Saccharomyces cerevisiae S288C: one gene and its partners. The protein of the gene in region 2 interacts with the protein of the main gene of each other region in a biochemical or structural test. Each region holds a gene or a part of one and is shown on either strand. Other genes may lie near its edges. The genes, in order: DIA2, MCM7, SLD5 and SLD3.

Region 1 (7,998 bases), on a different chromosome or scaffold from region 2:
GCAAGAGCCTGGAACCCGCCCATCGAGTGGCCGATGACTACGTTTAGTGCCGGGTGGCTGTCAATACTGCCCAACTCGCATGTGGCAATCTTGAGCACGTCGCGGGCCCCGTCGATCCAGTTGAAATTGGTGCCGAGTCTGCCGCGGTTGCGTACCGCAGAATCACCGTGGTTAACCTGGTCGATCAACAAAACCTTGTCGATGGCATAATTGCCCTCCGCATCGGCGGCTACCAGACGCGGCAAATAGTACTCCCATACCACCTTACTCATGCCGCTGCCGTGCAAAAACACAAGGTTAAGCCTAGTGGCAGTGCGAGAGCGGCGTTGCCGCTCTGCGCTAGTGTACACATCGTATGTGAGCTCGAGGCGATCTGTCGCACACAGCGTCGACTGCGGTGCGCGCGGCCAGCTAGCGCTACAAGTTTTCGTTTCTTTCTTGAACCTGTTCTGTTCCATTTTAGCCGCGGATGTTGATCGGCGGATACGCAGAGATAAGCAGAGTACGCACTAGTGAGCTTTTTTAGCACGCACATTACGCACTTTATATATATGCTAAAGGGTGCAGCAGCGGGCGCGGCTGCACTAACTCCGAGATTGCGGAGAAAAAACTCGTACTACCACATTAAGACGTCTCCACTTCGGTATCCGACTCGGGCTCCGTTTCGTCCGTGGGTTCTCCAGCAGATGTCGCCGGCACGGGTCGGTGTTGTTGCTTCTTGGTAGGCGACGACAATAGCATCAGTGTTTCGACAGCCGTGGCCTCCTCCCGTGGTGGGTGGCCTCCGAGCGCCTGAAGAAACGCTGTATGCGCGGAAGTACCCGCGTCTGCACTATCTGGAAATCTGTTGTGATAGCGACGTGGCGGCGTCTGCACTGCTGGAGCAAGCTCCGTCTCCAGCTCGGGAAGTGTCTTGTCCGTCCATCCATTTTGCAGCTTGACTAACGCGTAATTGAGCCTGGTGCGCAAAGTATGTGATATTTCGCGGATGGGCCGCTCGCCCGTAGACCGACGCGCAGCCGTCGGAGGTGACCTCAAACGCGGCGACGGCGACAGAAACACCTCCGACCGTCTTGACTTGGGCGTTGTCGGTGGCAACAAAGGCATACTAACGTGTCCGTCGTACTTCTTTTGATTTTCATTTTCTTCTTCATTTTCGTCGTCCTCACTCTCACTTTCGTGTCCGTCGTCGTTATGGTCATATACACGTCCATGTGCGGTTATGCCGACACGACGCTTATTGACGGGCGACATGAATATACCCTGAAGACTCGTTGTCGACGGCCTTCTTCTCGATTTAGTGATGCTTTTCGTTATGCCTGGTGGTGACGGCGGCGATGGTGTTCCAAAGCCATTTTTGAGACGTACTGGCGTGCTCAATAGAGTGGTTGGCCCAGGTCGCTGCTGATGCTCGTTGTTTACATGTGTATCTGGGTTCTGTACCTGCTCTTGTTCTTGTTCTTGTTCTTGTTCATCGCTAGTCCTGCTTCTCTTCGGCGTTCTCAAACTCATATTCTTCAATGTCTCTACTATTTTTCGTTGCTATTAATATCTGGTTGTGCTTTCTTCCATCAGGTTCTTTGCCTTGTTTTGCCTTTGTTTTGTTTTGTTTTGTTTTGTTTTTTTTATTTTTTTCGTTCTGCTCTTGAAGTTTTCGCTTCCCTTTTCCCCCTTCCCTTTAGCACCAGAAGTCATGAAACAATTAGTAAATCAAGAATTATCATTAAGGCAGCGCGAGGAATTATATAAAACAAAAAAAAATAAAAAAATAAAAAAAAAAAAAAATAAAATTCGAAAACAATAGGAGACAAAAGACATCATAAACAGCACAAGGAAGACGGTTCTGTTTCGTTGCTATGTCTAATACCTTGCCAGTAACAGAATTTCTTTTATCCAAATACTACGAACTTTCCAACACTCCTGCCACAGACTCATCATCGCTCTTCAAATGGTTATACCACAAGACTCTCTCCCGTAAACAGCTGCTCATATCCGATTTGTCTTCCCAGAAAAAACACGCCATCTCCTACGATCAATGGAATGACATAGCGTCGCGATTAGACGACTTAACGGGACTTTCCGAATGGAAAACAATCGACGAGTCCTCGTTGTATAACTATAAGCTGCTGCAAGACTTGACCATCCGTATGCGCCATTTGAGAACCACTCACGACTACCACCGCCTGCTTTATCTGATTAGAACTAAGTGGGTCCGTAATCTTGGCAACATGAATAACGTTAATCTTTACAGGCACTCGCATACCGGCACAAAACAAATTATACATGACTACCTAGAAGAGTCTCAAGCAGTGCTCACCGCGCTGATCCATCAGTCAAATATGAACGATCACTATCTCCTCGGTATTTTGCAACAGACGAGAAGAAACATAGGGCGCACGGCTCTCGTGCTTAGCGGTGGGAGCACTTTCGGCCTTTTCCACATTGGTGTTCTTGCCGCCCTTTTTGAATCGGACCTGATGCCTAAGGTGATCAGCGGTAGCAGTGCTGGCGCCATTGTTGCCAGCATATTTTGCGTCCACACGACCCAGGAAATTCCCTCCTTGTTGACCAATGTACTTAATATGGAGTTTAACATCTTCAATGACGACAATTCCAAATCTCCCAACGAAAACTTACTAATCAAGATATCGAGGTTCTGCCAAAACGGTACCTGGTTCAATAATCAACCTTTGATTAACACAATGCTTTCGTTTTTAGGAAACTTGACCTTTAGGGAAGCCTACAACAAGACTGGAAAAATCCTGAATATCACAGTCTCGCCTGCTTCCATATACGAACAGCCGAAACTACTAAACAATTTAACCGCTCCAAACGTTCTCATCTGGTCTGCCGTATGCGCATCTTGTTCTCTACCTGGAGTTTTCCCCTCCACGCCGCTATTCGAGAAAGATCCTCACACTGGAAAGATTAAAGAGTGGGGGGCAACAAATTTACATTTATCAAACATGAAATTCATGGACGGATCTGTAGATAATGACATGCCCATTTCTCGTCTTTCTGAAATGTTCAATGTCGACCACATTATCGCCTGCCAGGTAAATATACATGTCTTTCCCCTGTTAAAGTTTTCAAACACTTGCGTTGGGGGTGAAATTGAAAAGGAAATTACCGCCCGTTTCAGAAACCAAGTAACAAAGATCTTCAAATTTTTTTCCGACGAAACTATTCATTTTTTAGACATCCTAAAGGAGCTTGAGTTCCATCCCTATTTGATGACCAAATTGAAACACCTTTTTTTACAACAATACTCTGGCAATGTCACAATTTTACCCGATCTATCAATGGTTGGTCAATTCCACGAAGTATTGAAGAACCCATCTCAACTTTTCCTATTGCACCAAACTACTTTAGGTGCAAGAGCTACTTGGCCGAAAATTTCCATGATTCAAAATAACTGTGGCCAAGAATTCGCCTTGGATAAGGCCATCACATTCCTAAAGGAGAAAATAATAATCTCTTCGTCAATAAAAAACCCTTTACAATTCTACCAACCTCGATTCAGTGAGCAAATCAAATCTCTTTCCATAATGGATGCTGACTTGCCGGGAGTTGACTTGGAAGAATCCTCCTCCAATTCACTATCAATTATCAAGTCTCCCAACAAAACAGCGGCACCGGGAAGATTTCCTCTTCAGCCATTGCCTTCTCCATCTTCTACCTTCAACAAGAGGAAAATGGATATGTTATCGCCTTCTCCATCGCCTTCTACATCTCCACAACGTTCAAAATCTTCATTCACGCAGCAGGGTACAAGGCAGAAGGCAAATTCTTTATCGTTTGCCATCGGTGCATCTAGTTTACGGCTAAAGAAATCACCATTGAAGGTTCCATCACGACCTCAATTCAAAAAAAGATCTTCTTATTATAATCAAAATATGTCGGCAGAGATGAGGAAAAATAGAAAAAAATCTGGAACAATTTCCTCTTATGATGTTCAAACAAACTCAGAAGATTTTCCCATACCGGCTATTGAAAACGGTTCATTTGATAACACTTTATTCAATCCAAGCAGGTTCCCCATGGACGCTATGTCGGCTGCCACAAACGACAATTTCATGAACAATTCAGACATTTTTCAAAATTGAAATGAAAGACAATAAGTACATTTTTATATAAAAAGCTTTCTATATTCTCACCTCCATCAACTCCAAAAGGTACATGCCATTTTGTTATATTAAATATTCTAAGAATTTTCCGAAGGATACTGCATTATCATCAGTGATTTATTAATCTATGAGTATGAATATGAATTAATTCCAAATTTTCTCCATACATCTCTTTCATAAACACAATCCACTTGAGTAACTAAGTTCTGCGCTCGGATCATATTAACTGTGATATGAGACACTTGGGAACATCCGTCAATATTTAAATATGCCAGTGGTTGACCTCCCGCTTCGTTGTCATGATCCATCTGAAATTTTTTTAGAAATTCATATATTGATATTCCTGTAATTTCAAAATTGTGCGAAATGTCAAGCCTCTTTAAATTTTCCAAAAATGGTACATTAATAATGAATGACTTCATCGTACTATCATTCAAGGAGCTGAGATGCGATAAATTTATTTCTTCCAACTTGGAGAGTCTCTTCAAAACTGCATTCACATCCAGTATCATCCTTGCTGTATGAGCGTGATTATTTGGGAACTGGATGTTGGGGCAATTCCCAATGTTTAAACTTCTTAATTTCCGACCATCCAAGTATTCCTGCTCGCATAATCTAGTCAACGCAGAACCACTTATCGATGTCCCCATTAGATCCAACTTTTCCAGGTTTTGGAGATTTTCCTTGTAAAATAGCATGGATGGCACCTCGTCGTCATTCGTAACAGGCTGATCTTCATCCAAATTAACAATTGGATATAGCTTGTTCTCTCTAAAGGTTAACTTTTCCAAGTTTTTCCAGACATTCGAAAATTTTAACAATTGCAAAAACTTACTGAGTTCACAGTTGTCGTTATCTTCTATCCATAGTTCTTTTAGGTCTGGGAAGTTCAATAGCCATTGAAAATTCATTATGTCTTGATTATTCATAGGAAATGTTACACCAGTTATCGTCAGTTTCTGCAATAGAGGAAACTGGCCTCTTAATAGAGCACGACAAAGTGGAAAATTCTTAATTTTCTTCTTATCACATATCAATGTTATCTTCTCTAGCTCACTATAAATCACCTTTTCTTCTACTATTCCCTGTTCATCATTATCCGCAGTGGATATCTGCATATTAGTATGACGGGCCATCACATTGAAACTTCCATCCCTCCCAACGCTATTATTTCCGTCGAAAATTGGTACCAGTGAATTGACAAAAATTAATTCTATTTTTTTCAACAGAGGACAAGTCTGCAGTATCTCCAATTCATGTTGTTTATCAGGCCTATAAGTTATCATGAGAGATAATTCCAGCAGCCTTGTAAAAAAATCTGTGCCTCCTCTAACCATTAACTTAAAGATTTGTGTTGTAGTTAGTGTTGGCATTGACAGTATAAGCCGTTCGATGTTTATACATTTCGGCATTTTACTGAATAATAATTGAGTTATTCGTAACTCTTCCGAAGTGATTCTAGAACTGACTTTTACTTGTGAAAGAATATATTTTCTATACGTCCTGGTGAAATTCTGTTGTAAAAAATCCATAAACTTTACAAAATTTTTAAAATTTATTGGTGCCAAGTTGAATTCTTGGAAGCAGTCTAAATGATACAAAATTTTGTCCCTCCATTTGTTACAAACTAGCGACAACGTAACAAGCTCCTTAGTGGTAAACCTTTGGAATATGATAGGTAGTATTTCTATCGGCAAATTGCCAACTAAATCAGTTTTCTTGGTACTACCTTTAATCTTCTTCTTTGGTAACGATTCTAGAACATTATTATTCTTTTTTTTTTTTGCTATTTTGGTCTCCTCTAATGGATCTATATAACTTCTCTTGCCGTCCTGTTTTTGAACCATGTTATTTTTAATGAATTGTTTTTGTTGTCTTAGATGATTGCTATCGTTATTGCATAATTGCAGTCCACGAGAACATGTTTTATATGCCCTTTTCCAGTCTTTTAATTTTATCAACGTCCTTGTACATCGTATATAGCATTTGATATTACCTGGTTCTAACTTAAGTAACCTTTGTGATACGTCCAAACAAGATTTCAAATCATTCAATTTTTCGTAGCACGCACAGATGTTATCCAATATCTTTATGTATCTAGGATGATATAATCGTTTGTTATCCGGTCTCGCAGTATCTAATTGATACGCGTTCCTAATGCGCATAATCTGCTCCTGAGAATAAGAATCACATACTCTCAAAGCATTTGTGAATATCCTTTTCGCTTGCAAATATTCTCCAGATTTAAAAAGCCTCGTTCCTAATTCAATTGCTTTCAGAACGGTAGAATCTATAGCCACGCCTGAATTCCCTGGGGAAGACATCGGGGTGTATTTTTTGTTCTTGGTAATAAATTTATACGACATGGCTAATCATTTTGCATGTCTATTTATAATATTTTTCGAGAAATAACTATAAAAAAATGACGAGAAACAGTTTAGCTGCATAAAAACTTCTCAAATAAGCGCGGTTTAAAGCTAGTGTTACCAAGACCGATAATAATGAAGTTTTTGGGTGTAATACTGCTAGCAAGTTTTCTTTTGATTGCTACCTTCCTCATAGGGCTTATCCCATTGTATTATATTGATAAACAAAAAAGTTCCATTGTCACAAACCAAGAAGGTGCTGACTCAATTTCTGATTTTACTACGAACGCAGATACTCAAACGATCAATGACGATGTTAGTAGTTACCGTGTGAAGATTGCCGTTCTATCACAATTCGGTATAGGAATGTTGTTAGGTACATCATTTATGTTGGTAATACCGGAAGGTATCAAAGCGTGTGTCGAACATGATGGAAACGTTGGTGTGAATTTATTAATTGGGTTTCTAGGTGTTTATGTTCTTGATAGGTTGGTTACACTATGGGTTTCTAGAAAGCAAACGGTCTATACGCATGATGCTGTCAAATTTCAAAGCTGGAAAGATATAATAAACCATCCAAGACAAATATGGATGAACTTAATACAAAACAATGTTGTCTTTGCCTTATTCATTCATGGACTATCTGATGGAATTGCATTAGGTACGACAACGAACAATGATTCACTGCTCATAGTGGTGTTAATTGCTATAGTTATTCATAAAATTCCTGCCGTTCTTTCCCTCACTAGTTTGATGGTATCGAGACAAAACTTAATGAAATGGGAGGTGATCTGTAACGTTTTCTTGTTTGCGTCATCGACTCCGATCGGATACATAGTGTTATCCCTTTTGAATCTGAGTCATTCGCCAACGATGGATTGGATAAGTGGAAATCTTCTGCTTATGAGTGGTGGCAGTTTACTATATGCGTCTTTCACAGCATTTGTTGGTGGAGATTCTCATGATCACGATCTCAGCGTTGAACAGGAAGTCGTTTTACCTCATGATGAATCCGTTTATGTTTTGATAGGTGTCTGCATACCGTTGGTGATATCGTACTGCATCTCTGAAGAATAACCTACCAAACTTCAGTATATATTCTCATTGTTTGATTATAGATAAATGAACATTATGATTAATTTTGTGATTGTACTATTATTTTATTATGTTGTATGCTATATATTACCCTTTATTCAAAGCCTTTCTATTTAGCCAACGGTCTTTTGAACGTATGATGGATGATTCTTTCTTTGGTGGTAATGTTTTAGAATCTTGTGTGGTGGATAACAATTGAACTCTAAATTTTCCTCTTTTCACCGAATCTTTCCTTAAATTTTTTAATGTCTTCCTTTTCTTAGTTTTTATAGCTTTAGCCAATGCCTCTTCATTTTCATCTGACTCATCCAATTTATCGAAAGTTACATGTCTTGAAGATGAGTACTGCGTACTACCTTCGTCCTTCTGATCTATATTTTTTAGCAATTCCTCAGGAAGCTCCGCAATTA
Region 2 (8,743 bases):
TTTACTACATGGATGATATAATAGGGAAGATTTATGGCATCGATTTGTGTAAATCTCCGTACGACTGGTTCCGCAACACTGAAACACCCTAAAGGAAAGGCCGTTTTTATTTACCAAAAACCAATAACAAAAGTGAACGCTTGATAAACAAACATACTTAGCATAAATAACTACATATAAAATAGGCCAAGGATAAATGAAACGTTGACTAGAATGAATGAAAGATGTGAAAACAGTACAGTTAAAACTGCAATCCCACAAACTAAAAATAATATGAAGAACCTGTCTCAAATGTATAAATGCAGAATAAATAAGTAGCCGAAAAAGTCTCGGTAATTTTCTCCCTAATGATAACCCATATTTTCGAAAGACTCTAAAACCTGGTGTATGATCGTTGAGAACAAAATTCGTCCTTGTAGTAGTGTGTGTCTTTAGAAGCCATTCGGGCCGGTAGAAGGAAAGGTGTTGTTAGTCCCAGAGTGATGTAAGCAACATAAAACAACGTCGTCAGCTTTTTACTGGGAGCACTTGCCTTGTATGATTTAGAAACTTGTGAAAATGATTTCATGGCCAGCATTGTTAGTCCTCGATCTTTTGTGATATTTCCTATATATTACAAAAAAATTCTTGGTTTTCGCCTTGTCACAGGGAATAAATGTGGAATATAAAAGAGAGGAGAGGAGAGGAAAGAAGAAAAAAAACTTGGTGTCCGTTTGCAGATGGCCTATTATATACCCTGCTTATATAACTCTGAGAATTAGGAATATTTTGCTGTTGCTATGGTAATTAACATATTTCCAACAATAATGACCTTCTCGAGCTATTGTCTTCCTTGCAGTGGCGAAGAAACCACCGGAGAGTTGCAACGAACTGCCTTTCTTAGGAAGTGCGCGGGCTCTCTATTATGATAGGCCGATACGGTACAAAAGCTTAAAGTTGCCTTTGTATTACCTTTTTTAATCGCAGCAAACAATGCGAAGCACAGGTGTTCACTTTCCTTAGCTTCCCCTTTTCCGTGCTTTTGTTTATACTTCGTACAAAAATGAGGGGAAGGTACCAGGCAGGATACCTCACTGATTACGACGACAAGGAAAAGAGTAAAAATAATTTACTGTAAAACTTCCAAATTTGTCTGAGAGCAACAGAATAGAAGCACAAAGAAATGTACCCTACGAGAGACAGAGAGGGTAAAAGAGTAAGTAAATTCTAAAGTGGTGTGAATGTCATAACTTAAACTATTACCCACGGGATACCTGCTAGGTCAACGTAGCCGCTACTCGAATATAATAAGCGCTTCTTGTATATTTTCTCAATAACAGGTCGAGGCCCCTTCTACCCTTGAATGCTACTTATTACTCACTCATAATACATTGTATAAGCCTTCGCGTTTTTCACGGCCTCGAAAAAATTTTTCTTAACTAATTTACCCAGAAAGGAAATTTCCTTATAAGGAAAATAAATGCAATTCATTAAGTCGGTTTGCTTCTTTTTTCACGAAAGTGAGATACAAGCAAAGGACCAGAGCGAGATGTACTACAGTAGCAGGCTACATACACGTCTTTACCAATAACTTACATTTAGAAAGGCAATATAATCACTACCTAGATTAGCTTGAATCTTGCAGGAAGAACTCAATACAGATAGACCAGATTATGAGTGCGGCACTTCCATCAATTCAGCTTCCTGTCGACTATAATAATCTTTTTAATGAAATCACCGATTTTTTGGTGACTTTCAAGCAGGATACGTTGTCTTCTGATGCAACACGAAATGAGAACGAAGATGAAAATTTGGATGCTGAGAATATCGAACAACATCTATTGGAAAAGGGGCCCAAGTACATGGCGATGCTACAGAAAGTGGCTAATAGGGAACTGAATTCCGTGATTATTGATTTAGATGACATTCTACAGTATCAAAACGAAAAGTTTCTCCAGGGCACACAGGCAGACGACCTTGTGTCTGCCATTCAACAAAACGCTAATCACTTCACTGAATTATTTTGCCGTGCCATTGACAACAACATGCCGCTACCAACAAAAGAAATTGACTACAAGGACGACGTTCTTGATGTTATTTTAAACCAAAGGAGACTGAGGAATGAGAGAATGCTCTCGGACAGGACCAATGAGATCCGAAGCGAAAACCTCATGGATACCACGATGGATCCACCCTCTTCCATGAATGATGCGTTAAGAGAAGTTGTCGAGGATGAAACTGAGTTATTTCCTCCTAATTTAACTAGACGCTATTTCCTTTATTTTAAGCCTCTATCGCAAAATTGTGCTCGTCGTTACAGGAAGAAAGCAATTAGTTCTAAACCATTATCTGTTAGGCAGATTAAAGGTGACTTCCTAGGCCAATTGATTACCGTCAGAGGTATTATCACCAGAGTTTCTGATGTCAAACCAGCTGTGGAAGTTATCGCATATACCTGCGATCAATGTGGGTACGAAGTTTTCCAAGAGGTCAACTCTCGTACTTTTACTCCGTTGTCAGAATGTACTTCCGAAGAATGTTCCCAAAATCAAACAAAGGGTCAATTGTTTATGAGTACACGAGCTTCCAAATTTAGTGCCTTTCAGGAATGTAAAATTCAGGAGTTATCACAACAAGTGCCAGTGGGTCATATTCCTAGGTCGCTAAATATCCACGTTAACGGGACGCTGGTAAGATCTTTATCGCCTGGTGATATCGTCGATGTAACTGGTATATTCTTGCCAGCGCCCTACACCGGTTTCAAAGCTTTGAAAGCTGGCTTACTGACAGAAACTTATTTAGAGGCACAGTTTGTCCGTCAACACAAGAAGAAATTTGCGTCTTTCAGTCTGACTTCTGATGTAGAAGAGAGAGTTATGGAATTAATCACCTCTGGTGATGTTTATAATAGGCTGGCAAAATCTATTGCACCGGAAATCTACGGTAACTTGGACGTAAAGAAAGCGTTGCTGCTATTACTTGTCGGAGGTGTTGATAAAAGGGTAGGTGACGGTATGAAAATCAGAGGTGATATCAATGTTTGTCTGATGGGTGATCCCGGTGTTGCCAAATCTCAACTGCTGAAGGCCATTTGCAAAATATCACCTCGAGGAGTGTATACCACTGGTAAGGGTTCCTCAGGCGTTGGTCTGACCGCTGCCGTCATGAAAGATCCTGTCACGGATGAAATGATTCTAGAAGGTGGTGCCTTAGTACTCGCTGATAACGGTATTTGTTGTATCGATGAATTTGATAAGATGGATGAAAGTGACAGAACGGCAATCCATGAAGTTATGGAACAACAAACAATTTCGATATCCAAGGCGGGTATCAATACAACTTTGAACGCCAGAACCTCAATCTTAGCGGCAGCAAATCCGTTGTATGGTAGATATAATCCTAGATTATCACCTCTGGACAATATAAATCTACCAGCTGCTTTACTATCCAGATTTGATATTCTCTTCTTAATGTTAGATATACCAAGTAGAGATGACGACGAAAAATTAGCCGAGCACGTTACATATGTGCATATGCATAATAAACAACCGGATTTGGACTTCACTCCAGTAGAACCCTCTAAAATGAGAGAGTACATTGCCTATGCTAAGACAAAGAGGCCAGTGATGAGTGAAGCTGTAAACGATTATGTGGTGCAAGCTTACATCAGATTAAGACAAGACTCCAAGAGAGAAATGGATTCCAAATTTTCCTTTGGTCAAGCCACTCCGAGAACTTTACTAGGTATTATAAGATTATCTCAAGCGCTAGCAAAGTTAAGGTTGGCTGATATGGTGGATATAGATGATGTGGAGGAAGCCTTGAGGTTGGTCCGAGTCTCCAAGGAATCATTGTATCAAGAAACCAACAAATCTAAAGAAGATGAAAGCCCCACAACGAAAATCTTTACGATCATCAAGAAAATGTTACAAGAAACTGGTAAAAACACGCTATCATATGAAAATATTGTGAAAACTGTAAGACTAAGAGGGTTTACCATGCTACAATTAAGCAACTGTATCCAAGAATATTCTTACTTAAACGTCTGGCATTTAATTAATGAGGGTAACACTTTGAAATTCGTGGATGACGGTACCATGGACACAGACCAGGAAGACTCACTAGTGAGCACGCCTAAACTCGCACCACAAACGACCGCTTCCGCTAATGTGAGCGCCCAAGATTCTGATATCGATCTACAAGACGCTTGAAAGTTCTAAAAAAAAAAGCAACAGGGCCTTCATTCTTTATTCTTTTTCCCCCTTTTTTTCATTTCCATATAGCTGCACATTCAAATTTACCTTCTGTAACTTACTTCCAAGGCCCAGTTTTCAAGATATGTATTCTGTATTATTATAATTTTACTAATATTATTCATCGCTTTTGCCAGCCACAGACCCCACACATTTCGGACTTAACATTATGACTGCGCATGTCCGTGCACCGCGGCCCAATTCTTGTTTTTTTTTTTTTGCGGAGAAAGGAAAATTATCTTCAAGCGGAATAGGGCCAGCTAGTATTGCTCAGATGTGCCTGTGGAGAGCCGTGCTACAGGGTACCGTCAGCCCCTGAGTATACCAGAGAGTACACCGTGCGGAGTTCTTCCAGAAAATGAAAAGATTGTTCTCAGAATAATTCGTAGCGCTTGATAATAATCCGAATTTGAGATACCTGCCGGCACCCATTCTGTTATCGCCAAGAGGACTTTTAGGGGACCCGCAGACAGTAAAATTTTTTTCATTCATTAACATGTGAAGGCAACATTCATCGATCTCCATCCCTACTGTCAAAAATATAAGTATATATATATATATATTTATATAGTCTATATATATATAGTCCCACTCTCAAACTAATATAACCTTTACAAACCTGTCCGCTCAGTACGGTAGTCCTATTTTATTCCGTTTACTAGATTATATTTGAAGATATTTTTTTATTCTTGAAAATCCCGGACGATAGTATTTTTAGCTGAAGAATATTTGCGGGGAGGAACTATATAGACACTCGAAGCAAGAGGGGAAAAGGAGAAAGAAAAAAAGGTACACTAAACAAGGTCGAGTGTATTGATGTCAAGTGCTTCAAGACTTCAAAACGTCAATATTGTTTCTAACAACTATTCTCGTTACGGAACTTCCGTTTACGATAAGTTGTATCATAGTAACGGCAGTGGTAGCAATAATGCTGGTAAGAATTCTACCACAGTTGGTAAACTGTCATCTATCTCACAAAAGTCCAGGAGCAAACAGCGTCATGGCTCAAATTGCTCCAGATCAATGAGTCAATCACCCTTATCGACGTTCAAATCTCCACTCAGCAATCAAAATCAATCCAGCGCTCCTGATGATTTGGCTTCCATAGGTCAGAGACGCAGTGACGACGTCACATCTTTAGATAATGAAACTATCATAACGATGAATTCAAGGAAATCAAGGATTAAAAAAAAGTATAAATCCTTAATCTCCACCTCTTCAAAAAAATTTATGAATAAATTGTACGATCATGGTGCTTCATCCGACTCATTTTCTATATTTTCTCTGAAGACTTCCCATTCTGGTAAACATGAAAATTCCAGATTTGAAAAGCTGAGGAAGAGAAAATACCATGCTTGGGGCAAATTTGCCGATATCAACGATTTACCAGTTGAAATAATTGCCAAAATACTTTCTGAATTCGAGTTAGGTCGTGATCAAAAGACACTCGTAAGATGTCTATACGTATCGAAGAAGTTTTATAAGGCGACAAAGATCGTCCTTTATAGGCTACCTTACTTCACTTCCACTTACAGAGTGGCGCAGTTTGTCACCTCACTAAGATTACATCCGGATAACGGGGCATACGTGAAAGTATTGGACCTATCACACTTGAAGCCGGGAATTATAGGCCAAGACTCGAAGGATTCTCAAGGCCTAGACGATGATGGCCACTCAAGGCGTCACAGACGCCGTCGCCGCAGATCTACTAACACAAGTTTGAATCTACCTCCAGCTACTCCAACATCTACCATTTCTAACGAGGATGATGCCAATAGCGGATTAATCAAAGACGACGCTTCAAATGGCAGTGAAGTTGAAGACTTGGCATTAGCTGGTTGGAGAGACTGGAGATACAGAAATGAACCCCTTTATAGCTCTCCTCTGTTGAACAGCTTTAAACTGAAAAAAGTGGTTTCTCGTTCTTCTTCTATCACTTCTACATCTTCTGGAAATTCCACCGGTGTTCACTCTACAAGGAGACAACGTTCCAATAGTTCCGTTGCTTCCATAACGACGAGTATCATGTCATCCATCTATAACACCTCCCATGTCTCATTGTCTTCAACCACGTCTAATACCAGCAATGGTAACATCTCTTCTGGTAGTAATCTGTCAAGAGTTTCCACTGCTGGATCATTGAAAAAAGCTTCTGCGAAGTCCACAAGGTCATCTCCTCAGAAAGCAAAACCTATATCTGACATTACGTCATCTTCCTGGTTTAGAATGAGGTTAAGTTCAAGAAATAGAAAGGCAAGGACAGCTAATACGATTAATTTAAAGAACTCGAAGGATAAGTCTGACGATGACTTTAAAGTTTTAAAGCACGATTCGGGGCATCCATCCAATTATCGTTCTTCGACATTAAAATTTAGCATTGAACAACCATTTAGTACGCATCATCCGTATGCCAACAAATTTCTTTTAAAGTACGCTCCTTATAAAGATCTGCCCCTAGGTTATATTTTACATATGCTGAACCTGTGTCCTAACCTTGTTGAACTAAACCTTTCCAATTTAGTTATTTGTACCGATTTCAAATTAATCAACCAAAGATCCGAAAGAAGAAGGATGACATCTTCACTGTTGCCCGCTGTCCAGGAGTCTAGTGTTTCTGCAGGCCCTGAGAAAGATTTAGAAATTGTCTATATGACCGATTCTGGCAAAGGTTATGAATATTATGAGGGGTTAAGCAAGAAACACTCACGTTCTTCAAGCCTAGGTACCAATCCATCTAGTTGGATTGGAGGTCAGGCGAATTGGACAGATTACCCACCTCCAATCGATGCACAAACGAAAACAAGAGAGGAACACAGACGCAACAATACCTTGAACAATAAGAACGTCGTATTAAAGAAGCTAAACCCTTTTGAAATTTTTGAAATGATCTGCAATAGAAATGAAGAAAAAGGTGGCTACTGCTCCTTAACTAAGGTGAAAATGAATGACATTGTGTGGTGCAGGCAATATATGGTAAAGTATTTTGTAATGAGGACGTTTCGCCAGCATTTGGATTATAAATCCATGGAAAACAACTCTTATGAAAGACACTTATTCAGTTTCCGGGACTCTGGCTTGGATAGAAATTTTTCCTGGGCTTGTAATGCCAAATTGCATGAATTTGTCGCATTGATGGTTATGGATCATCTTTCAAATTTAGATGATTTAGGATTAGAAGAGCTTTTTAATATCAAGTCCGAAAAGCTATATATAAAAAACTATTGTTGCCGAGACCCGGATATTCTCGAAATATCAAACTTATTTGATATTAGATATGGGGCCGGATCTGAGGCTGATGCTACTTCTGATTCCAATCTCGAAGCAGAATCTTTACAATTCAGGTTGACAATATTAAAAACAGAAAAGCCAACTTCATTTTGGCTCACAAAAGTTTCCAAAGATTATGTTTCTTTAGTGGTTAAATTATGTGTGGATGATGACATTGATATGGACAAAATGAAAGTTGGAAAACCAACTTTGAGAATAGACAGTATTACACACAATTTGATTAGTAGGTTAAAGGAGTTGAGGAGAGTTGATCTAAGGAGAAATGTTGGCGAAAATAACTACTATGCTGAAAGCATCATATAACGACTGCTCTCTTTTAACAGCATACGTTCTGTTAATTTATTTGGCCAAATATTATTGATGTTTATTTTTTTCTTTTTTGCATAGCCTTTCTACATTTCATGGCTTTATTTATTTATATTTATTTTTCGTTTCCTATTTTTTTGCATACATAGACACTACCTTTGATTTTTGCTTGTAAGATGTACGATATAAAGTATACTATGAAAAATTTGAAAATATTGGTCTTAGTTACTTTTTCTGGTTTGTTTTATCAATTCATGTAGCAGTGTGCACGAAAATCTAGTTACGCAATGTGAAATCTAGAAAACCTTCTACAATTTGGAATTATCAATCACCTCTCGTTGAAAGTTTTCACACACCAATTCTGGACGGTCGAAGCATAAATTATGAGAACAGTCAGGTAAAATAATCACTTTACGAAGACATTCTTTATTTATAGTTTGTTTGTAAAATTCCAAATTTTCAATAGGAGCTATAGGATCTTTTTCAGCGCCAAATATTATAATTTTCTGTTTCATATCCGTTTGCGTCAATACACCATTGAATTTAACCCAATCAACAGTTTCCCATCCTAGTAAATAACCTATGATGGTTCTACTTTTGTTGCTTATGTTGTTTTTAAATTGCCAGAACTTCCTGTATTTCAACTTGACATCATCACCTTGTTGATAAAAATACTGCTTGATGCCGGAACTTTGTAGACCTTTTACCTGATCGAATTTGTTTCTATAAACGTCAAATAGCCATGGCAATTTAAACACACCATAGAGAGCCCACTGGATAATATGTTTATCCTTAGAAAGCTGCTCGATATGTGCTTTGGGGGGCGTCAACAAAACTAGCGTTTGTACCGCTTTTGTATCAGCCATGTGCTGCTCGTAAAGATGACATGCCAGAAAACAACCCATAGAATGCCCTAC
Region 3 (7,388 bases), on a different chromosome or scaffold from region 2:
ATGCGATCTATGATAAAAGCATGATGTGACGAATATCTAAAAAGGAATAAAGACTTTTTTTGCATTTAATTATTTTCTAACCTTAGATATATAATGTTATTTATTTGATTTTGTAGTAGTTGTAGGCCCATCAAGGGTGGATATGAGAATGCATTAATTTGTAAGAATCGATAATGGCTTTCAAGTGGCATACAGAACCAAGAACCACCATAATATGAAATATTTGATGAGAGCTACCGAAGAAATCGAACTTCCCTGGAGCCAAAGTTTCAGGAATCCTAAACCCGTAGATTACAGCCCCTGAAATGTAAAAGAGAGCTTCCCAAAACACAAAGCTGACTTTTATTCTGTTAAGAACCCCTTGGATACCGAACTTGAAAAACCCTGTGGTCAATGGGAGTAAGCCACTAAATCCAAACAATATGAAAAACATGGCCCTAAATGGACGAAATGTGGAAGTGTTAAACTTGTCGTGGAGGACACAGACTGTACAAAATGTTGCCAGGACTAAAGTAACAATCGTGAAAAGACTGAAGTAGGATATGTGGTCGAAGTAACCAAAGTATATTATAGGGATCATAGAACAGGAAATCAAACTGATAATCCCCAAGTAGTCGAGCTTGCTCCAGAAATTGCTTTGCTTTTCAGAGTGTTGCTTCATGCAGTGGAAACAGCTACTGCACATGAGACATGAGAAAGCGCCCATCAAGAAAATGTTTATAACGGTGTAATCGGACCAGGAAGTGGAGGGGAAAACGGGAATTAGAAAGTAGTTGGTCAACGTAATGGCAAACACGAAGTATACGATAGCCGGTACCAAATGTGTATAAATGTTCACAGTCTCGTTGTTCCAATAAAATAAAGAATATAAGCACTTTTTCCATGACAGTGTTTCACGAACGTACCCGGTGAGAATTTTGTCATTATCTTTTTGCCATTCTGGCAACTCATCGAAATTGTGTAGCAGTTTTTGCTTTTCAAAAACTGTCTGGCCTGAGACAGCTTCCACCTTAATGGAGGCTCTCGTTGCCTTGCAGCAGACACTATCTTGGTTTCTTCTTCTAGTAGTGGTGATACTCATTTTTTTTCTTCTTTTATCTTGCTTGACTCAATTAAGGCGACTAATAACAAAACGAATGACGAAAATGGAAAACAATAGAAAAGTTAGGAACCAGAATCACTTTTGTAAAGTTAATATTGCGCTTGCGGAGCTCCTTACTGTTTCAACTGATGATACTGATATGCCTTTAGAAAAGAAATCAAATTCTATTAACAGAAGGGTGCCAACATGTACGTATATATATATGTGTGCGTGTGTATATATGTCTGACATATACATGAGTAACCGGCTAAGTAAGGTTTTTACGTTGATTGCTGCATCCATCGGTCGTGAGTATTGTCAAATTGCCGATGCCCTGCAGGCAAAAAAACCGTTGAAAAATCGTTGGGAAAATGGGCTTGCCCGACTGTCGGATTTAAGGGCTTGGACCCTAAAGGTTGCATGATAAGACCTACTTATTTTAGCATATAACCCTATAAAGGTGAAAATCTCAGTAGGGTTATTTTCGTTTAAGGGAGCATGAAAAATTCAAGTTAGTACATATTAATGGCTTTGAGATATTGCGGAGTGACAACAAGAGTAATACAGAGCAGGCGAGAAAGTAACGCTGGACAGTCACTATCTGGTACAACTTGCGCACGTGTACTTGCTTGAATACTGCTACTATATCATTAATATGGGAAATAGGTCTTTGACAGAGGCAGACCACGCCCTGCTGTCCAAGCCCTTGGTACCGACATCTGCGGAACATACACAAACGCAAGAGTATCCTCGTCCTTTCGTAGATGGCAGCAATTCTCAGAGCGGGTCTGAACTACAGGCTTCTCCACAAGGTCAGTTTGGAGAAAAGGCATTGACTAGTACTAATCGCTTCATTCCCCTGGCAAATGATGACCCGGGTATGCAGCACGAGATGGGTCTTGATCCCTCAATGAGGCGTAGAAGAGAAGAATGGGCAGAACGTGGTGCGGCAAAAATCGTCAAAGATGTTGTCGACCCAGCTACGGGGGAGTTAACTAAGCATGTTGTCAAGATGGGAATAAAGGACTTCAAGTTTGGAGAGCAACTCGGGGATGGATCATATTCTAGTGTTGTTCTGGCTACCGCCCGTGATTCGGGCAAGAAATATGCAGTAAAAGTGTTGAGTAAAGAATATCTGATCCGTCAAAAAAAAGTTAAATACGTCACAGTGGAGAAATTGGCTTTGCAGAAGCTGAATGGCACCAAGGGCATATTCAAGCTTTTCTTCACTTTCCAGGACGAGGCAAGCTTGTATTTCCTTCTAGAATATGCCCCCCACGGTGATTTCTTGGGCTTGATTAAGAAATATGGATCTTTAAACGAGACATGTGCACGCTATTATGCGTCGCAGATCATCGATGCCGTTGACTCCTTGCATAATATCGGCATTATTCACAGGGATATCAAGCCCGAAAACATATTGCTCGACAAAAATATGAAAGTGAAGTTGACGGATTTTGGTACAGCCAAAATTTTACCGGAGGAACCTTCGAACACCGCAGATGGCAAGCCTTATTTCGATTTGTATGCTAAGTCGAAATCATTTGTTGGTACCGCAGAATATGTTTCTCCTGAGCTACTGAATGATAATTATACAGATTCCCGTTGTGACATTTGGGCATTTGGTTGCATATTGTACCAAATGCTTGCGGGAAAACCGCCTTTTAAAGCTGCCAATGAATATTTGACATTCCAAAAAGTAATGAAGATTCAATATGCGTTTACTGCAGGTTTTCCGCAAATAGTAAAAGATTTAGTTAAAAAACTATTAGTTAGGGATCCAAATGATAGATTGACCATAAAGCAGATCAAAGCACACCTCTTTTTCCATGAAGTCAACTTTGAAGATGGTTCTGTTTGGGATGATAATCCACCGGAGATACAGCCATATAAAATAAATGCAGAGGCGATGAAGCCCCTGCAAAAGGTTTCTGAATCTGATACCACTGTCAAAATGGCCAACCTTCAGCTGGCTGGTAATGGACATGCAGATACTCCCCTGCAAGCACCAGCAGCGACCTCTCAAGAGCATTCTGTGATCAGTATGACTGCAGCAACCGCCGCATTCAATAAAGATTATACAAGTCAACCCAAATTGGGGAGCAAGTCAAGCACATCTGTTAGATCTGCCTCCAACAACACAGATCGCGAGGTAATTCAAAAGAAGGTTTCAAAAAATCGCGCATCTGTATCATCTCCTTCAATTTCTACTACATCACGGGGGAAAGATAATAGAAGTCGCTCTTCTGACGCCTTCTGGTCACGCTACTTGCAAAATATGGATGAACGTGTCTTGTTGATGAAGGAGGTAGCGCTTTCCACACGAAACTTAGAGGACTCACCTGTAGGTCTTGAGAACGTGGCTCTGGACTACAAGAACCCTCTTGATATCGAGCCTCCTACTGATAGTGCAGGCAAATTTTACAAGAAAATGTTTCTAATAACAAACCTAGGCAGAGCACTTGTTTTTGTCAAGAGAAGAAGTCTCAGCATGTGGGAAGAACAGGAATTTGAATTGCAATTCGAACTAGAGTTGAATGACGTTGAGAAGATACGCTTTATAAGTGATCAAGTCCTTGAAATTGACGGTTCCAGGACGATTTTCATAGGATGCAAAGAGAGAGCAGTTTTAATGAAACTATGGAAATTAATACATAATGGAATGACCGCCAAACCTAAAGTAGTATCGCCGAAGTCGGACCATAAAATGTTTGATAAGTTCATTCTTCAAAAAAGACAGAATACAAAAAAAAAGAATCAAGCTCCTCCCGTACCTCAATCGAATAGGCTAATAAATGGTTTACCGGACCGTTGCATCTTAAAGACACCCGAAGAAGGCGCACTTCACACAAAACGTCCCACTTCGTTGCAGACCCGATCGTCATCTAATTACTCAAAATTGCTGGCAAGATCGACACAAATGCGGAAAAACATGACACGGACAGATGAAAAATGAAACTGTGCTTGATAATATATATATATGCATATGTAAGACATGGTGAAGGGGAAAGTGTAATGCATAATAGTTCAAATAAGAGCAACTTTGTCGTCTCTCAGCAGATCCCTAATGACTTCATATCTCATAACGTAAATACTTCCAATAGTGAGTTCAACCTCTTCCTTTAAATCGGGTATTGTGACCGTGTAGCAAGGTTTACCGAACTCGTTTTCCTGCAATAGCGGATCTTCGTTCCATTTACCATCTGGTGGGCCGTTAACGTGTATAAAGACAAATTTGTTCCAGTCGGGCTCATCTATCATGTTTACGCTACCTTCTGTATCATTAATAGCCTGAAGTTCTTCGGGCATGTATTTCAGGATAGAATCATTGACTAGTTTCAACCAGATCAGGGAATGCGTGTCATGGTATTTGATTTCATCTTTGGATAGTAAATCTGTAAGAGAGATCAGCGAATTTTCATCTTCATTTAATTGGCGCAAATAAAGTGAGAATTTGTCAATTTTGCTTAGCCTACATCGTATGTAGCTTCTAATAACAAATTTCAATCTTTCTAACTCAGTTTCCATGCAGAGTAAAGGCAATTTAGATTCGTTAGGCATAGGCGGGTTCGCATTAGAAGCATTTTGCATATCGAGGAATCCCATTGAAATGTTTTCAATTAATTGAGATTGCATGGATATTCGATTCAATAATCTTTTCATCAACTGATGAGGATATGGTAAGAGTTCTGGCGAACACCGTTCATTTTTCCAAGACTTCATCAAGTCAGAAAAATCCTGCTGGGGAGAGACATATATCTGAGTCTTGTCATTCAAGTCTAAGGACGAACCCACTATTGTATTTGCATCTCTGTGGGTAGTGGAAGAAGAACCTTGCGTGATCTTGGTAGAGTCGACAGCAGTAGTTTCCTTATCCAGTTCTGCAAGAATATCGTCTATGTTAATGTCCATCACCGAGTCAGGTATCTTATTCTCCTTCCCAATACTAACAAATTTGGTTTTTCTTACCTATGGCTCAAATATAATGCTATTGAAATTTTCAGTACTAGTCCAAGGCGAAAAGAAAAAGAAATGAACTAGTTTTCGTGTTTTGCCGTAAACAAAGAGAAAAGGGAAAAAAGAGCATCACAGTTGGTTAATCAACCAAAGAGGAAGAAGGATTGAAACATTAAGATGGAGCGATTGAAGCAACTGGAGGAAAAAAGGAGACAATTGAAAGAGCTGCGTGAGAGGCGAAAACAAGCCAGCTTGTTCCCTGGGAGCGAGACGATGGGCCACCATCCCACAGAGGTGCACGCTAAGGCAACCATGGTCAGCGTTTCAGTGCAGACCGACATGGAGGAAGGCTCAAAGATTCAAGAGCCCCAATCTGCATATCTTCGACGTAAGGAGGTTATAACATACGACAAAGGCATTCAAACAGATCAAATTGAGGAAGAACAACTGCAAGAAAATGAAAATCACACCACTACTGATGCTGTCGCCATTGAAACTACTGCTGCCGACGAAAATAATAAAGACAAAGCTGAAAACGACCAGCCAAGGTTAGAACTAGCCAAACCTTTTCTTGTTGAAGAGGCGGCGGCAACGCTGAGCAACGCTAGTTTTGCGCGGCTGGAGACAGAGGTTTCTGCGTCAGGCCAGCAGGCGCCATCGAACATGCAACAGGATAAAGACAACCTCATGCAATGGAACATGGTCAGTGAGAATTTACAATCAGAGACAGACTGCGATTGTATCGCTCAGGAGTATGACCCAGGAAAAGGCGTCTTGGTTGTGGTTTATCTACGATTGCCGCCGGCAGACCTACAGTATGCTAGCAGCGAAGCGGCGTGGTCTGTGGTGAATGTAGTCAAGTGCGATAATGCCAGCGGACGCAACGGCCTCTTGATAGATATGGTAGAGTTCCGTGGTACGCGGATCATGACAGCCACGATCCTCCGTCGGTATCATCCGGAAAGCAATGTAATATCAATCTTGTTGGCGACCTTGACGGGCAAGATCATATTGTACGAGCTTAGATTGAAACAGAAAAAGCCAGAAACACCGGTAGTGTATGTCGTGCAGCGAAATATGGTGGCAAGACACTACTTTCAGCACCCAGTGGTGGCTGTAATTGAAACAAGCAGCGTGCAAGATCAAGAGAGAGTACTTGTGGCAGCTGATAATGGCAATATTATGGAGTTGAGCTGCCTGGACTTGACTGTTTTGCGGAAGCCACAGCAGCTCCGTCCTGTACCGCTATCACAGCTTTTATCTTTGGAGAATGATACTTGCACATATACGGAGCGATTGCAGCGGTTGGCAAAGTTTGATGAGGTAGGTATAGCTTGCATGGCGTACACGAGTGAGGACCCGCAGTACGTCTGGATCGGTGGCGAAGACGGTGGTATATACAAGGTTTTCTGGGACCAACCTGGGCCGCTGTACCTCTCTTTGGACAACAATGGGTTCCAACCTGCAGAAAACCACTCTACGAGGGTAACCGGGTTAGAGTTTCATTGGGACGATGCTCGGCGGCTAATGCTTCTATTATCATGTTCCACGGACTGGACGGTGCGGCTGTGGGACGCGCGAGCAGGGAAAGCTATCATAGGGGCGCCATTGTTGTTAGGGGGGCCCGTACTACGTGCACGCTGGCTCGAAAAAAACAATGGAGGGGAAAATAGTCGCACTCTACGGTGTCAAGTGTGGTGTGCAGATGGTCGCCTCGTTGTTGTAAATTGGGCTTTCGATGCTAAGACGTCCCTCTACACGGCCACTGTTATCTCCTAACGCCGCTTCGAGGCGGGTGAGCATAGGTTATTGCCTGATGAGTAATTTCTTAGCGAGAATTGATAAAAAAAAGCAAGGCTATTATTAATATACGTGCTATTGTGAAATTTTCATTGGCGTATATATGTGAGGTGAATGTAAATATCTCCAACAAAAAGCAGAAGGCTAAAAAAAAGGAAAGGAAAAGAAGAAAAGGCAACGTCGAAAATGTTTACACCAATTGATCAAGCTATAGAACACTTCAAGCAGAATAAGTTTGTAATTGTTATGGACGATGCCGGTCGTGAAAATGAAGGTGATCTTATTTGCGCTGCTGAAAATGTCAGCACTGAACAAATGGCCTTTCTTGTACGCCATTCCTCAGGCTACGTCTGTGCACCTATGACGAATGCCATTGCTGATAAGTTGGACCTTCCACTACTGAGAACAGGCATGAAGTTTGAATCCAATGATGACGACAGGCATGGAACTGCATACACAATAACTGTAGATGTAGCCCAAGGCACTACCACAGGTATTTCTGCTCACGACAGGTCGATGACTTGTAGGGCTCTTGCAGACTCTTCCTCTA
Region 4 (8,098 bases), on a different chromosome or scaffold from region 2:
GTTAGTGTTCTTACGCAATATAGAATTCTGAAGTTCGTTGCTTTAAATTGCAGGGAAACACATTTTCTAAAGATTCCAATTGGGGACTTGAACATTATTACGCAAGATAACATGAAAAGCTGTCAAATGACCACTCCGGTCATAGACGTCATTCAGATGCTTACCCAAGGTCGGGTTTCTTCCGTCCCTATTATTGACGAAAACGGCTACTTAATCAACGTATATGAAGCATACGATGTCCTAGGCTTGATAAAAGGAGGCATCTACAACGACCTGTCATTGAGCGTCGGAGAAGCCCTTATGAGGAGAAGTGATGATTTTGAGGGTGTTTATACATGCACTAAGAATGATAAATTATCTACTATTATGGATAACATCAGAAAAGCAAGGGTGCATAGATTCTTTGTAGTTGATGACGTCGGACGGTTGGTTGGTGTCTTGACGTTAAGCGATATTCTCAAATATATCCTTCTAGGTAGCAACTGAAACGAGCCGATGAGATTTTTGTGTACATACTATAAATAAATGCAACTAATAAAGTCATGATTAATCAGTCATGCATACTTCATCTGACCAATATATTTTCATCTTGCTTATTTTGGGTATAATTCGGCGGAAATTCGGTTATAAAGCGAAGTGAAAAATCGATTAGTAATGATACTGATGCGATCTCTGGGAGGGGGGAATGCTGCATATAAGGGTGAAGGAAGATAATGCAAAGCCTTTTGTAGTATTGTCTGTTGATACCAAAATAAATTAGTTCATCAAAAAGGTACAGGCAGCTAAAGAAAAGCTGTAAATTTAACGCCGTAGAAGGTATTTTTCGTGAGATCTATCTCAAGGCATCATTTTTTTTATTTTCGCACCAAGATAGGAAGAAAAAGAGTCACAGTATAGAGGACTAACCGTTAAAGATTCTAAATCGGTACTGTAAATACTTTGAAATGCCTCAATCTACTCCAAGTCAAGAAGTACAGCGTGTACCATGGGATAATAAACCTGCTTTGAAGCAGATAACACTCCGAGCAACCATAGCAGGTATCGCTATAGGGTCTCTGGTGCTAACATCAAATTTTCAATTTGGCCTGCAAACCGGTTGGGTTTCCATGATGTCCCTGCCATCGGCATTGTTAGCTTGTGCTTTCTTTAAAAATATCTGGCCATTAATATTTCCGAACGACAGGCCTTTCAGTGACGTTGAAAATGTATACGTACAAAGTATGGCAGTAGCTGTCGGAACAGGCCCATTAGCCTTTGGGTTTGTCGGCGTCATACCTGCCATCGAGAAGTTCCTTACTAACGACGAAAGTGGTGGATTAAGGGAACAAGGACAGTCCTTCACTTTTAGAGAATTGTTAATATGGTCCACAGCCCTAGCATTCTTCGGTATTTTTTTTGCAGTTCCTCTAAGAAAGCAAGTAATTGTTAGAGAGAAACTTCCCTTCCCCAGTGGTAGCGCCACGGCCACTTTAATTTCAGTGCTAAATGGAACTGAGATTTTACAAGAGGTTTCTAAGTCAGAGTTATTGGAAATGAGGCAGAGGAGATTGAATGAATGCCCTGAAGTGCTACAACCCAACAGAGATCCAGAGGAGGCGGATTATTTAATGAACTCTTCTCATAGCGAACTTGGTGATTATACGGCAACTAGCCAAGATGGAAGTTCTATCCTTTCTACTGGCTCTGAGAACTACAGAGCGAATATTATTATTTTATTGAAAACTTTTGTTGTTTCTTCGCTTTACACCATGGTGTCATATTTTGTACCGGTAATACGGTCTATTCCAGTCTTCGGAAAATACCTCTCGAACAATTATCTCTGGAATTTTCAGCCGTCGCCTGCGTATATAGGCCAAGGGATAATAATGGGTCTTCCAACAGTATCGTATATGCTTATCGGGTGCTTCTTAGGCTGGGGTGTGTTAGCACCATTGGCGAGATACAAAAGATGGGTACCACCAGATGCTGATGTCCACGACTGGGAGGAGGGAGTGCAAGGATGGATTCTTTGGTCGTCGCTTTCAATAATGGTTGCTGACAGTGTAGTCGCTTTTATTGTTGTGACAGTGAAGTCCATTGTGAAATTTATTCTTATAGATGACAAAGCTGCTTTACTGAACAACATAATCGATGATACATTTCAATCTATGTTACTGGAGGAGGAACGCGCCATTAATAGCAGCAGAAGAAATACATATGTTGATGGAAGGCAGGACACCGTAAGATTAGTGAGTAGAGATAACGAAATAGAAGTAGATTCGAAGCATTTGGTTCGCTATACCACCGTTATCAGTGGATGTCTAGTCTCCTCGATAATATGCATTGTTTCCATAATATATTTGTTTGGGATACAAGTAATTCCCCTATATGCTATTATCACTGCTTTGATACTTGCGTTGTTTCTATCTATTCTCGGTATTCGAGCACTTGGAGAGACCGATCTGAATCCTGTGAGCGGCATTGGTAAGATCTCTCAATTGATTTTTGCCTTTATCATACCAAGGGATAGACCTGGATCAGTGTTAATGAACGTGGTATCGGGAGGTATTGCAGAAGCCTCTGCCCAACAGGCGGGCGATTTAATGCAGGATTTGAAAACGGGGCACCTCCTCGGCGCCTCCCCAAGAGCTCAGTTCTGTGCCCAATTGATAGGGGCCTGTTGGTCAATTATTTTGTCTAGCTTCATGTATTTGTGCTACAATAAAGTTTATTCAATTCCGAGTGAGCAATTCAGGATACCGACAGCAGTAGTGTGGATAGATTGTGCAAGACTAGTAACTGGTAAAGGGCTCCCTGATAAGGCCTTGGAGTGCTCCATGATTCTCGGAGTCATATTTGCCGTTTTATCATTAATCAGAAACACTTATAGAGATTACGGATACGGGTGGATATTATATATTCCGTCTGGTGTAGCAGTCGGTGTTGGTATATTTAATTCTCCCAGTTTTACAATTGCAAGATTCATCGGCGGGTGGGCTTCGCATTTTTGGTTGAAGAATCATAGGGGTGACTTAAATGCGAAAACAAAAATGATTGTATTCAGTTCGGGGTTGGTCTTAGGTGAAGGTATCTTTAGCGTAATAAACATGCTCTTCATCTGCTTAAATGTCCCTCACTATTAGGTATATAATATTTTACTAATAAAGAATTTACAAAGTTTACAAATTTTAAATTATTTACTCATCACATAATTCGATGTCTTAGATTTCCCTGTATATATATTTCTAGGTGACAAAAATCCTAGGCAAAATGTTATATTATACGCGACCTTGAAATATCGGCTATCTTGGTGTACAACATGGTCCATTTAAGAAAAATAAAAAAAAGTGATGGGCACTGTTAAAACAGGCAGAAGCCTCATTCATAACTGCTGAAGGGTTAAGATCGTATAGGTAGGAACGATCTGACCTCTCATAATGGAAACATGGGAAGTCATAGCATCGGTAAAAGAAGCAACAAAAGGCCTTGACTTGAGCTTAGATCATCCACTTATTATTAAATCCGAGGACGTGCCCAGTAACATTCTCCAATTACTGCAACAGAAGAATCGACGTCAATTGAAACACATCTGCATGAAATCAAGAAAAGAGTATTTTCTACTAGAGGAATATGGGCCAGGATTTTGGGTTAAGTGGCCGTACAATTATTTCAATGGTTACAGCTTACCAGAAAGGCGTACGGAAGTTGTAACGACAGTTGAAAGAGAAAGAGCTAAGCGTGAAACGTTAAAAACATGGGACGAATTGAAATTTAAAGAGCTTCTTCATTTATGGTCAGAAGAACCCAAGGGCTCGTGTAAGCTTGAGAAGGACAAAGACCTTAAACTGGATATGAATCCCCCAGATATGAAAGGCGAATCAAAAATTAATGACTACTATTCAGACCCTAAAGAGTACATAGAAAGTAAGTATTATGATGCTCTTTTTTCCATACATACGCCTCTCGCATATTTCGTCAAGTCAAATTTAGTAAGGCTCAAAAATACCTGCCGAACCAAGTACGGAAGTGACAGTTACAAAATAGCCTATCAAGCCATGCTGCAAAAATTTCTTCTCTCAATTGTACAATTCAAAGATAGACATGATAACAGGCTTTTATTAGAGCCCTTTTCTAGTCCCATAGCAGATGAAAAAAGGAAGAACTGTCTCACAAAATTTGTTATCCAAGATGAAAACAAAAACAGCTCAACCATTGCTGATTTATGTGTTGTATTAAAATCCCGCGAAATAAAGCTACAAATATTATTGCTATTAGAGATAATAGGATTGAACGATTTAGATTGGAATTTTAGAGATTTTGAGAAAAAGTATAAATTAAAATTGAAGAAAAGATCACTTAATTTGACAAAAAAGGGATTAGTTCGTCGAAGATCGAAGAAAAAAACCAGCGAAAAAGACAAAGGAATCGAGAGAATAACAACATCTTTGGATTATTGTGAACAGTTAGACTTGTACTTAGATAGAGCATGCATCTTGGACATTCTACTATCAAGTGAAACGCCCAACCCAGATGCCATAGAAGCATCAAATGGAACAATACAAGAGCATAAAAAAAATATCCTAGACAAAAGCAAAGAAGCCTCATTGGTTGGGTTCATAAATTATGTTCTTATTCCATATTTCAACAAAAAGGTACCACACGCCGTTGAATTTATAATTCAAAAGCTCAAGGGACCAAGCATGAGACCAAAGAGAGCCCTGAAAAAGGTCAACGATAGCACAAATGTATCGTCACCTAATACTGTAGAAACGTATAACAGGTTATCCACGAGTCAACGTGCCTCTCGCTCTTCAATCATTAATTCCGTCCCATCTTCACCCGCATTGAGAAGGGTGGACGCTAATTTGTTCAGCAGAAAATCTATAGCTTCGCCCACCCCTGAACTTTTGAATTCTAGAACGAACTCTAACTTGAATGAATTTCTCGAAAGTGAAACTAGAAGCTTAAAGCGCCCTTCACAATTGGGAAGGACGAAGTCTGATCTAACGATGAATCATTTACAAAAACGGCAGTTTTCTGTCTCTGACTTAAGCACAACAAGAGTACCGAATTCATCAACTATCACACTCAAAACGCCTTTCTCGCACTCAACTATTAATGCATACAAAACTATGAATAACTCTTTTCGCAGAGTTGGGAAACGTAAAGATATCAATGAAACGATACGCCTACATGAACGTGTAGACTCTGAGGAAAACGTACAAGTTCAAGCCACTCCTGCTGTGAAAAAAAGAACTGTGACACCTAATAAAAAGGCGCAACTTCAAAGCATCATTGAATCGCCGCTAAATTTCAAGGATGATGATACGCATGAAGGCAGAAAAAATACCTCCAATATTACCTCTACTCCCACTAATAAGCCCCCGGAAAATAGCTCAAAAAGGAGAGTAAGAAGACGTTTATTTGCTCCAGAATCCACATAGAATAAGAAACTGCGAGACCACCTTCGCTGGCAAGTAGTTGACCCAACTCCATCTTTGTAGCTTTTCTTGGACGAAAAGGGAATAAAATAAAACTAAGCTACAACAATTTCGCACTTCGGGGGCCTTTGAGTATACAATTAAATAACTCATCATGCATATATATATATATACATACAATGGCGTATGTAAAAACTGTTATATAACATTACCGTTGTACTATTAGTATAAACCGATTCTCACTATTCGCCAAAAAATATCGCACTAATTAATTCTTTTGCGTCGTCTCTTTTCAAAATGTGAAATCCAATAGTGACACCACACCTCTCTAGCAATTTTTCCTTATCCTCATCCGTAACTTTTTCACCTTTACCCTCGTACAAATCTGGTAAATCCTTTTTTAGAACTAACAATGCACTAATTACAGTATCAACCAAGATTTGAGTTTCTTCTTTAGTAAATTTGGTCCTAGTTGGATTGGAGTCATCGTTCAAATGTTCCTCTATATTGTCTAGAGTTATTCCGCTTTCATTGAATACCAAGCGCGCCCAATTATTTAGGTTTCCTAAGAAGAATCTGATGGATTCACCTTCTAGTACCGATACACCCTTTAAGCACCCATAGTAAGTCCCAAAAACACGGTTTATGTCCAAAAATGTCTTTAGCAGTGTCCTAGTTACTCTTGGCTTCAGGGATTTGTATGCTTGAGGAAATTTTTTCAATACATAGTCCAACAAAGATGCGGCAAAATCACGTAGTGCATTCGTTCTTTCTAAAAATTCATGAATTTCTTGCGGCGAATCATCTTTTGGTGATCCACCAAGTTTTTTTGCTAATAGCAAGGTTAAAATGGAAGGCATTAACGAATGAATATAAGGGTCCAGGAAAATAGAAGTATTGCTTAGTAAAGAGTAAATCATTTCCAAAATTGTTGTTAGCAATTGTAAATCGGAAAGATTTTGTGTGATTTGTTCGGCAATAAATTGAATAAAATATGGAACCAGTTGGTGCAGGCCACTATCAGTTCGTAGTGAAGTCAAAGCTGCTTGTTTCATATGCTGTGCAGCTTCATCAGCTTGACTCTTCGCTGTCAAGGTTGAAATGACCTTATTGAAATAAATCTGTAATTCTTTGGATAAAACGTGTTTCACTAAAGGTTTGACTTCAGTATTCTGTCCTGGTTTAACATTAGACAGGTGTTGAGAGGCGCCTGTATCCGTCACAGAAGCACTTGCTGTCGTCGACGTTACAGGTGTTTGGAGGCTGTTATCATTCAAAGCAGTGACAATAGCACCTCTAATAAATGGTGGTTGGGATACCCTTATATCATTCAAATTTGGATTTTGGATTATGGCAGGTTGAACCCCTTCAACTGCTAGCCAATGTGTAGTAAAAGTTGGTAGACGAGGCACTTGCGGTAATGGCTCATTTATTAATCTATCAAAATCTACTTCTTCCTCATCCAGGTAGTAAACCGACTGTCCTCCACTTGTGTTAACCTTACTAAATGATACAGCTTTATTAACTTCAGAGCCATCATAATATCCATATAAAGGTTCCACATTCAGAACACGCAGGGCCTTCGATACATCGTCTGTAGTTAAAACATCTCTTTTAGAGTGTCTTTTAAACTTGACTGCCTGTTCAATAATCTCTAGAATACGGTATTCAACGTCCATAGCAAGTGCTTTCAACACGTCATCGTTGATATTTTCCAACCCAAGCGACTCAGCGACATCTTTAACAGTATCTTGTGGAGACCAAATTGTGTAAGATTGCTGCTGTGTAGACATTTTAACAGGCTATCAACTACACTGAGGCGTCCTTTGCTTCCTTTTTAAAGCCAATCTATTGTTTTCGCTCATGAACTACTTTTGCTGCTACTTGAATCGGTGTTTGTTATTGATGGTTTCCGGGTATTTTTTTGGTAATAAAATAAAGCTGAAAAATTTTGTAAAGCGATGCCCAATCTCGAAGCCTCACTTCAATGAACATAATACAGAGAAAATTTAACCATAAATAGGCCCAGCTTCGATCGTAAAATGAGGTTACTAGTCAGCTGTGTGGATAGTGGATCCATAAAGGAAGTTTTGTGTAACATCGGGACTGACACTTCCGTACAATCAGCACTGCAGCCTTTTCATGTGGCACCTCATCTAGCCGAAGGATTGAAAGCTTACGTTGACAGGATGTGGGTGATATCCGAAGATGAAGCCATCTTAGCAAGGAATTCAGGGGTCGTCGAACTTGTAAAGATTTCGAAACACCTTAAAGAAAATGAAGCTCTCCAGGTCGATCCCAAAGGAGAAAGCAAAAATGAAAAGAGCCTTTCCGATGATCTACCCAAATTTGACATATCCGAGTTTGAGATAACCAGCTCAGTTTCAGACCTTTTTGATGATGCCAAATTGGAATCACTTTCAAGTAAATCTGTTAAAAGAACCAAGTTGGTGGATGGTTTTGTCACATTATGTCCCATAAAAAAGGATTCGTCGAATAACACATTCGTAGCTGCTACCAAATCGGGATTATTACATATTATAAAAAAAGGAGAAGATAAAAAGTTAATAAAACTAGCATCCCTTGGACTGAAAGCACCAGTAGAATTTCTTCAGTTATATGATCTAGAAGATACCGATACTGATAAATATATATTTGCATACGGAGGGGAGGAGAAT

What was found.
Region 1: of the proteins of MCM7 (region 2) and DIA2, one has a biochemical effect on the other in vitro, tested with the Saccharomyces cerevisiae proteins (5 studies listed by BioGRID).
Region 3: the proteins of MCM7 (region 2) and SLD5 form a complex in vitro, tested with the Saccharomyces cerevisiae proteins (4 studies listed by BioGRID).
Region 4: the proteins of MCM7 (region 2) and SLD3 form a complex in vitro, tested with the Saccharomyces cerevisiae proteins (4 studies listed by BioGRID).

The regions. Positions count from the first base shown.
Region 1 is NC_001147.6:473,047-481,044, reverse strand, and holds DIA2 (DNA-binding SCF ubiquitin ligase subunit DIA2), read right to left. Parts: upstream 6,452-7,998; coding exon 4,253-6,451; downstream 1-4,252. Other genes in the region: LPX1 (triglyceride lipase), read right to left, coding at 1-458; transcriptional repressor WHI5, read right to left, coding at 625-1,512; TGL5 (triacylglycerol lipase), read left to right, coding at 1,857-4,106; Mn(2+) transporter ATX2, read left to right, coding at 6,629-7,570; BUD21 (Bud21p), read right to left, coding at 7,676-7,998. UniProt on the Saccharomyces cerevisiae protein: F-box protein component of a SCF (SKP1-CUL1-F-box protein) E3 ubiquitin-protein ligase complex which mediates the ubiquitination and subsequent proteasomal degradation of target proteins. Probably recognizes and binds to phosphorylated target proteins.
Region 2 is NC_001134.8:624,120-632,862, forward strand, and holds MCM7 (DNA replication licensing factor MCM7), read left to right. Parts: upstream 1-1,652; coding exon 1,653-4,190; downstream 4,191-8,743. Other genes in the region: DER1 (derlin), read left to right, coding at 1-92; MIN7 (Min7p), read right to left, coding at 374-577; COS111 (Cos111p), read left to right, coding at 5,049-7,823; LDH1 (triacylglycerol lipase), read right to left, coding at 8,135-8,743. UniProt on the Saccharomyces cerevisiae protein: Acts as a component of the MCM2-7 complex (MCM complex) which is the putative replicative helicase essential for 'once per cell cycle' DNA replication initiation and elongation in eukaryotic cells.
Region 3 is NC_001136.10:1,428,617-1,436,004, reverse strand, and holds SLD5 (DNA replication protein SLD5), read right to left. Parts: upstream 4,994-7,388; coding exon 4,109-4,993; downstream 1-4,108. Other genes in the region: IZH1 (PAQR-type receptor), read right to left, coding at 131-1,081; serine/threonine protein kinase PKH1, read left to right, coding at 1,737-4,037; PAC11 (dynein intermediate chain), read left to right, coding at 5,216-6,817; 3,4-dihydroxy-2-butanone-4-phosphate synthase RIB3, read left to right, coding at 7,025-7,388. UniProt on the Saccharomyces cerevisiae protein: Required for DNA replication. Functions as part of the GINS complex which plays an essential role in the initiation of DNA replication by binding to DNA replication origins and facilitating the assembly of the DNA replication machinery.
Region 4 is NC_001139.9:292,516-300,613, forward strand, and holds SLD3 (Sld3p), read left to right. Parts: upstream 1-3,416; coding exon 3,417-5,423; downstream 5,424-8,098. Other genes in the region: AMP-activated serine/threonine-protein kinase regulatory subunit SNF4, read left to right, coding at 1-486; YGL114W (uncharacterized protein), read left to right, coding at 945-3,122; TATA-binding protein-associated factor TAF6, read right to left, coding at 5,663-7,213; ribosome biosynthesis protein NSA1, read left to right, coding at 7,463-8,098. UniProt on the Saccharomyces cerevisiae protein: Required for loading and maintenance of stable association of CDC45 with chromatin during initiation and elongation of DNA replication. Also involved in temporal regulation of origin firing. Required for the association of PSF1 with origins.